Caenorhabditis elegans: one gene and its partner. The protein of the gene in region 2 interacts with the protein of the main gene of each other region in a pairwise test. Each region holds a gene or a part of one and is shown on either strand. Other genes may lie near its edges.

Region 1 (3,190 bases), on a different chromosome or scaffold from region 2:
GTTGAACACTGCAATAATTATGTTCTCGTAATTATTCATGGGAACCTTCAAAAAACTTACAGTTGTTAATGATTCCTTCTCTTTCAGTGGCAACAAGACATTCGATAACTCTGCTGGTGTCGTGAGCATAGATCAGCTTGGCAGCGTGTCCTTTTACAAGACCATACAACTCGTGAACCGCAGTATCCTTTTCAGCTTTTGGCGTCTTTCCCATTCTGATCTTTTCCCAAAGTTCCTTGCATTTTTGAGCACGAGCTCCTTCAGGTTTTCTCTTCAATTTCAACTCCTTCAAAAATGCTTTTCTTTCTTTTCTCGGCATATTCAGCAATTGTTCTTTAACAGACTTTGTGACTTGAATAGCTACTCTCTTTCTCTTTAGAGTTGGAATGTCAATATGAGATTCATCTCCACCTGCTTGTTCGTCGACAGATTCCAAATTTTCATCGTCTGCTGGCTCAGAAGCAACGGCTTTCTCTGCATTAACCTTCACTTTTTTCTTTGGGGGAGCGGAATGCTCTTCTTCTTCTTCCTGAGCAACTTTGACAGTCTTCACTTTGGCAAGTTTCTGAAAAAAAACAATTGTGTAAAAGACGATATATTGAATTAACAAACCTTAACCTTCTTATCAAGAGGGGATCTGAGAATTCCTCTTCCTGGAGATGCCTCTGATGGTTTGATTTGAAGATCCTGAACTCGCTTATCGAAAACCTTAACATGTTCAAGTTCTCCTGAGAAAAGCACTTTTTTCGATTTCTTTTTCGGTGCTGGCTGGCTTCCGAACGAAGACTCCGAGCACAAAGAGTCACGAGTCCCATCATTATCAAAAACTGATGTTGAAGATGACTTTTTCAACCTTTCCAACTCGTCCTTCACAGCTTTGTCTACTTTGCTTTTTAACGCTGCTTTTTCTTCAATCTGAAATATTTCACAAAAAATTATTTACAAAATGAAGTAATTTAACAAACCTTAACAATTCGCTTTCTGTCTACTTTGTTGAGTTTTAATCCTTTTGCCTTTTTCTCCAACACATTTTTAACCTTCTTCTTCCCTTTGAATTTTTTATTTTTGTCGTCGAGTTTCACCATTTTTACCCGCGAGATTTCTCTGAAAGACACGCATATTAAAAGGAGTAATAAACACAAGACAATTTTATGTGAGGTTTAAGCGATTTTTACTTTGGAAACAAATTGCACAGCTTCAAAATAGTAACAAAAAGTTACGAAAAAGTAAAGAAAAATGAAAAGAAAATGTTAAAGGCGCATGTTGTCTTCTGACGTCTCTCAATTTACACACTCTCTTCTTCGTCGTTGCGAGACCTGCCGCAATGTTCGTCTCTCCCGTAAATCGACATTGGAAAATCATCATTTGAAATTTTATTTCCATTTAGCTGCCATTTTCAGATTATCAGCTTTTATTTTCGCAATAATTCTACTATTTTTAACGCATTCAAATAAACGAATTATTAAATATTAAATTTTAACGGTTCTTCTGATTTCCGCAGAAATAAAACACGTACCAGTTGCAATCATATATGTGTTAACATAGTTTTTATTTTGCAGAATGAGTTCAATCGGTACCGGCTACGATCTCGCCGCCTCTACTTTTTCTCCTGATGGCAGAATTTTCCAAGGTTTGTTTCGATTTTGCTTTGTTCAAAATACTCATAATCTCGTTTTCAGTCGAGTACGCTCAAAAGGCTGTCGACAATGCAGGAACAATGATTGCAATTCGTGGCAAGAACGGAGTTGTGGTCGTTGCTGACAAGCTGATCTCTTCCAAACTTTACACTGATGTGAGTAATTTAAGAGATTTTCAAGATTTTATCTATAATTTTCAGAACGCTAATCCAAGAATGTTTAACGTGAACGACAATGTTGGTGTCGCAGTTGCTGGAAACTATCCAGATGGTTTCGCTCTGAAGAACTATGCTTACGGAGAAGCAATGAAGTGGCTCAAAGACTACCGTGAGCCAATGCCGATTCAGAATATTGCTAACTCAGTTGCTGAGTACATTCACATTCACACTCTCGGCATTAGTCGTCCGTTTGGAGCAGGAGCCTTCTTCATGTCATGGAACAAACAAACTGGAGGACGTCTTTTCCTTGTGGAGCCATCAGGTCTAAACTATGAATACAAGGCATGGGCTGTCGGAAAACATCGCCAAGCCGCAAAAGCTGAGATTGAGAAGCTGAAGATCGAGGAGCTGGATGTGAATCAACTCGTGAAGGAAGCTGCTCGAATCATTATGGTGGTGCGTGACGAGAACAAGGATAAAAACGTTCAAATCGAAATGGGATGGGTCGGTGAGCAGACGAACGGAAAGTACGAAGAAGTTCCAAGCGAGGTTGTCACTGCTGCCGAGGAATGGGCTATTGCCAAGCTTGACGAGGACGACATGGACGATTGAATCATTCTCGTGTATTTATTCACATTTTTAATTTATTATCAGCTCTCTTCTTTCTGCCCTGGTAAACTTCTTGCGCTCGGCGAGTCATTTTATTGTACTTCAAACCGACTCACCGACTTCAAGAAGAACTTTTTGCACCCGGATGTTTTTTTTTAACTTTTTCTGTTCATTATTTTTCGGTTTCCCGGTATTACCCATTTTTCTCAATACAAATTCAGACAAACCAGAAACATGTTTATGCACAATTCGCTGGGGGCAGTAGACCCGTCCCAAATTATGGCGCTATGTACAAACAAGGATAACAACAATTTTTTAAGTTATGCGGCAACTGCTTGAACTGCTTCCTCGATCATCACACTTTGACCAGTCTTCTGTTTCTCCAAGCACTCAAATACAGAATCTCGAAGATGTCTGTATGTTCTCGTAAGCTCTCCCATTCCAGTTTTCAATCCATTCGAGACGTAGGCAATCGTGATCCCATCTTCCAAATCCATCATTACTGTGCTGCCACCGTAACCAGGATGTCCAACAAGCCACTTTTTCTGAAAAAATAATTGATTTATTATTATATTTATTAAAACGATGCTCACCCCTCCCATTGGATGTCTCTCGTATAGGAAACCATGTCCTTTTGGTAGAGGAGTCATGACAACTTCATCAATCCCCTGAACTTGGGGGGCACGGAACTTTTCTAGAAGTTCAGTAGAGAACAGTTTTCCTTGTTGTACGAGTGAGAAAAGTCTAGCTAAATCTCTTGACTTTGTAATACCAAGAGCAGCGACT
Region 2 (4,591 bases):
ACTGACCAATTTATCATCAGACCTCTTGTATTGTCAACACAAAACAATGTTTCTCTAATTTCTCTATATGTCTGCCTGTCTGTCTGTATATCTGCGTGCCGTTTCTCTCTATGTCTATCTTTAGTTGATTGTGATACTTTAGGCGAAAACAGTGAGGTGGCAGTCGAGCGGATACTTTGTCCTTTCTCTCCCATCGATTATTGACACGCTGCGTCCCACATTAATTTTTTTTTGCATTATTGGAACACGATTCGATGTGGCAAGTGAGTTTAGGCATAATTTATTCTCATAAACGGAGAAGCACGTATGAGCTTCCAGATATGAAACTGCTGCACACCTTCTTCAAACACTTTTTAAAAAGTTTTTAAAGCTTAAATTTCAGATGTAAAACTTCAAAACCATCATGTCATCCACTACATCTTCTAATCTGTCATGTCCGGCTTGCACTCAGAAAAAAGTGAAAAGCCGTTTCAGTTGGCGAGCAATTTTATACGCAATTTTTTGCTTTCCGTGTGGAATCTACTGCTGCATGAAACGGAAAACATACTATTGCACACAATGTCAATGTGATGTGAGTTTTTTCTTTCAAAATAAAATTAGAAGGCTTAGTTCTTATGAAAATGAGAGCTTTAGTTATAATTTCTAAAGAAATGTATTGGTGTTCTGCAATAGCTAATGTCTTATCTCGTTTTTAATAAATCAAATGTTGCAGGTGGTTAAACGTACTGAAACCCGTGCTATTTTACCAAGAACTCCCGGATTGGGCTACAACTTCCGTTTGTACGAATCTACAAAAACGGCTCTTCCAGCTAGTTTTGCTGCATATCGTAATCCGGCAATGACAGCATCATCCACAGATTCTACAGTTTCCACCACACTATCAACTGCACCAATTGTGGATTAATTTTTTGAATTTTTGATTTCGCCAGGGTTTCAAAAGGGGTTTGTTACGTTTAAGTAATTTTCATAAGTAAATATTTCCGATTATTCTGATACTTGATCAGAAGTTTTAAATGATACTTATCCCATTTTTCTTTACAAAAAAGTCTCCTATCGTCTCACCATTTGATTTCTTGTCACTTTGCTCTTTTTCGCGTTCCAAAGCCAATAGTTTCGTCTCGAAAGCTTTTGATTTTATCAGTGCTCGATGATCGACCTGTAAATTATTTGAAATATTTTTCAGTTTCTTTTTCTGTTTGATTTTGGTCAATTAAACTACGGGTTTCAGTGTGATTAATTACATAACTTTGAAACGTATATTTCCAGAATTTTTCCGTTAATAAATATAATACTTTTTCTTTTTTATAGATATTTCAATTGACTTTTCTCTAGACTAGAAATTTCGAGATGTTAAAGATTTTCTTATGGAAAAAATGAGCTTCAACAGGAAATAAAAATCTTACCTGTGAAGCACCCAAATTCTCTCTCAAAAGTCCAATATGTTGCTCATAGATGACAATATCAGCTTCAAGAACTTCAATAAATCTATCCTGTGCTTGAATGGCATCCTTCAATCGGTCAATGTCCTCAAAAATAGCTTTTTTCTGACATTGATTGTAGTTGATAGCGGATTCAGCTTGAAGGAGATCTTCAACCATCAATTCCATCAGCTTTTTAGATTCGTCAACTTCTGAGCTCAAGGATCGTTTGGCTACTTCACTAGCATCTAACTCTGTTGTCAACTTGTGAACTTTTTCTTTCAAATGAGCAACTTGATCACGAAGAAGAGCATTTTGTTCTATTTCCCAATTTCGAGAAGATCGGAGAGTGTCAACTTCTTCTTGAAGACGATCCCTCTGAAAATTGGAAACGTTTCTATACAAAATGATATATTCATCTATTTCACTTACCTCATCTTCATATTTTCCATTGATATCTTCAAGTGTAGTTTCCAACTCCTTGATTCTTGCAGTCGCCGCAACCTTTGCCTTGAGTCCAGCAGTTTTTGCCTCTTTTGTGTATTTGAGAATTTCAGATTCATAGTCTGCTTTCATTTTTTCAACAGATGAGTTTAGTTCGATAACTTGCTGACGGAGTAAAGCATTTTCAGATGAAGCTTCTGTTAAAGCAGACTCGAGAGCGTCTGAAGTTGAAGAAGACATTGAAATGGTGGGATAGCGGGAAACAGATGTAGATGGAAAATTGGAAGATGTTGATGTTCCAATTGAAGAACCATTTGGATTTAAATCAAAAGTTACACGTTTTCTTTGATGTTTCCTATGGATTCCGTCAATATCTGGAAGAGCGCTCAGTTTGCTAGATGGATCAAATGGAGGATCCAATGGTGGAGGAGAGAAGGTTCCCGATGAACTTGAGACCATCGTTTCTGAAAAATAGATCAATTCAATTCCGTTAAACTTTAAAAAAAAGTTTTATATCGTCACAATTTTCAATTTCTAGCCGTGTGCTCAATTTTCGAGCTTATTTTCAAGAAAAAGAGGAGCATACAAATTACTTGGGCAAGCTACCTTTAGATTACTGTAGGTTACAGTTGTCCTAACACGTCTAAGATCAGCAATTTTCCTGTTTGGGAATAATAAAAAAATTCTAAAAATAAAACTGAACGTCATATATATTCAGAAATGGTGCATGACAACTTCATTTTTTTTTAACCAAAAAACTTTACTCACTTCTCTGTGCAATGACATGACCTGGAGATGAACTTCTTGCTCTCCGTTCACTCTTTGAATTTGATAATGGTACTGAGGAATGAGCCATCAAAGAAGGCTCAGTTTCTGTCGACATATCCTTCTTGTCTCTATTCATTTCTTCAAATTTTTGTTGAACAATTCTCATTGCTTGATTTTTGACTGAAGCAACTTCATTGTGCTCACGAACTCTTTCCTAAATACAACTCCAATATGAAACCACAGAAACAGAATAATTCTCACCTGTAAGTCCAAAATTTGCCTTTCTTTATCCAATATCACATTATTTAAATCTATAATTCGGTTATCCTTATACACCAGTTGTTGATGAACCCGTTCATCGATCCGTTTGTCGGCCGATTTTTCTTTTTCTTTGGAGGTTTTGTCCTCCATTTCTGAAAAGTATTATATTTGTATTTAACGTATTTAAAAAGTGACAGTATACTTCAAGGACGTGAAGAAACAATGAGAAGAAAAGAAATTTGAAAATTATAGTTTAAAAAAAGGGATGACGTAAAATTATTCAAAAACTTTTTAAATAATTTGTAAATCCAGAATAAATTTTCTGCGAGAGATTGGAGAGAGAAACAGAGAAACCCCGTTCCACGTAACGGAGAGGCGCTGAACCCACGTGGAAAGCTCACATTTTAATCTCACGCAATAATATGCGTCTCACGTTTTTTTTTCAAAAAGTTTTCCGAACACATCCTTTTTTTTCTAAAATTTTTTAATCTTCCGACACTACTTGAGAAGTCTTATAATGGATGAAAAATCGTTTTTTAAAGTTAATAAACTGATTAGGTATAAGGAGCATGCCAAAAATATATTCACTTTCAGTTTTTTGATAATGTTGCAAATTATTCAAAAGTATAACTCGTAACCTAGTTATCAGAAGTATAACTAACAAAATATTTATTTTTGTATTTAAAGGTTGCTGAAGTAAAATAATTTTCATTTACTGTTTCATTTTTTAACTATAATAATAATATACTCTAGAAATTCCGCTTTTTTTGGTACTAGTGAATATAATTAACTTATTTGAACAAGTATACAAAAGTAAAAATAATTTGCTTCTGAATTAGCTTCTGAATTAGTTTCGGAAATAGTTTCGGAATTCATTTTAATCATTCTCAACAATATCAAAAACCAAAAAAGGTTGCTTCTTTGGCTAGCACTGTGAATTAATACAGCAATTTAAATATAGGTTATATAACTAAATTTGAAACATAAGGAAGAATATATGAAACGACTTAAAACAGTTACAAATCTACGTGCAATTTAATTCCTGAAGAATCAAAAATGAAGTTTTAACACGAAATTCTACAAAAAACTGGTTCGAATTAGTTCCTTTCGAGAGACACGTCGACCAACACGGCACCCGCGTTATTGATTTTCTGCTGACGCACATTCGTTTGCGGTGGCGCATTTCACTTTCGCGGTGACCATTGACATAGTGTATGGGCCAAATAATGGGAGAGCTCGGTGAAATATTAGTGACATTAAATACGGATATTAATTACAAAAAAGAAATCGATGGTAAAAATAACCAAATGACTATTTTGGCATGAAAAAACATGACTTTTCAATTTTTATTTTCTGTTTTGGAACTCTTCATGTAGGCCATTTTAAATCATTAGTTTTCTGTGCGGTGTGTATTCAGAAAAGTTAAAGTAAGCATTGAAAACTGTGAACAAAACGTTATAAGAACACGTCTCATTGTCTGTCAGTACATGAGAGCACGATGTAAAAAAGCAAAGCACACAACTGATATTTTTGTTAAAATAATTTCTGTCTTACTAAAGTTTTTGGGTCAAGATAGATCAAACAGCATCGAGAAGAAAATTTACTAAGTTTGGTAACCCATGAAACACAGTTCTCTTTCTATTTTCAAAAGGCATTTGTGTCTATTAAGCTCATCAGTTCTTCTGAAAAATCAGCATTAC

The links.
Region 1: the proteins of T28C6.7 (region 2) and pas-7 interact in a two-hybrid assay, tested with the Caenorhabditis elegans proteins (2 studies listed by BioGRID).

The regions. Positions count from the first base shown.
Region 1 is NC_003280.10:10,098,224-10,101,413, reverse strand, and holds pas-7 (Proteasome subunit alpha type-3), read left to right. Parts: upstream 1-1,559; 5' UTR 1,560-1,560; coding exon 1,561-1,630; intron 1,631-1,679; coding exon 1,680-1,792; intron 1,793-1,837; coding exon 1,838-2,407; 3' UTR 2,408-2,632; downstream 2,633-3,190. Other genes in the region: puf-12 (Pumilio domain-containing protein 12), read right to left, coding at 1-8, 61-565, 613-915, 966-1,085; lact-2 (Beta-lactamase domain-containing protein 2), read right to left, coding at 2,725-2,949, 2,998-3,190.
Region 2 is NC_003282.8:8,826,254-8,830,844, reverse strand, and holds the start of T28C6.7 (Kinesin motor domain-containing protein), read right to left. Parts: upstream 3,042-4,591; coding exon 2,892-3,041; intron 2,845-2,891; coding exon 2,631-2,844; intron 2,327-2,630; coding exon 1,851-2,326; intron 1,797-1,850; coding exon 1,404-1,796; intron 1,297-1,403; exon of another isoform or gene 1,157-1,296; coding exon 1,063-1,156; exon of another isoform or gene 905-1,062; coding exon of another isoform or gene 713-904; intron 572-712; coding exon of another isoform or gene 404-571; exon of another isoform or gene 383-403; intron 264-382; exon of another isoform or gene 118-263; intron 1-117. Other genes in the region: T28C6.8 (Membrane protein BRI3), read left to right, coding at 404-571, 713-904.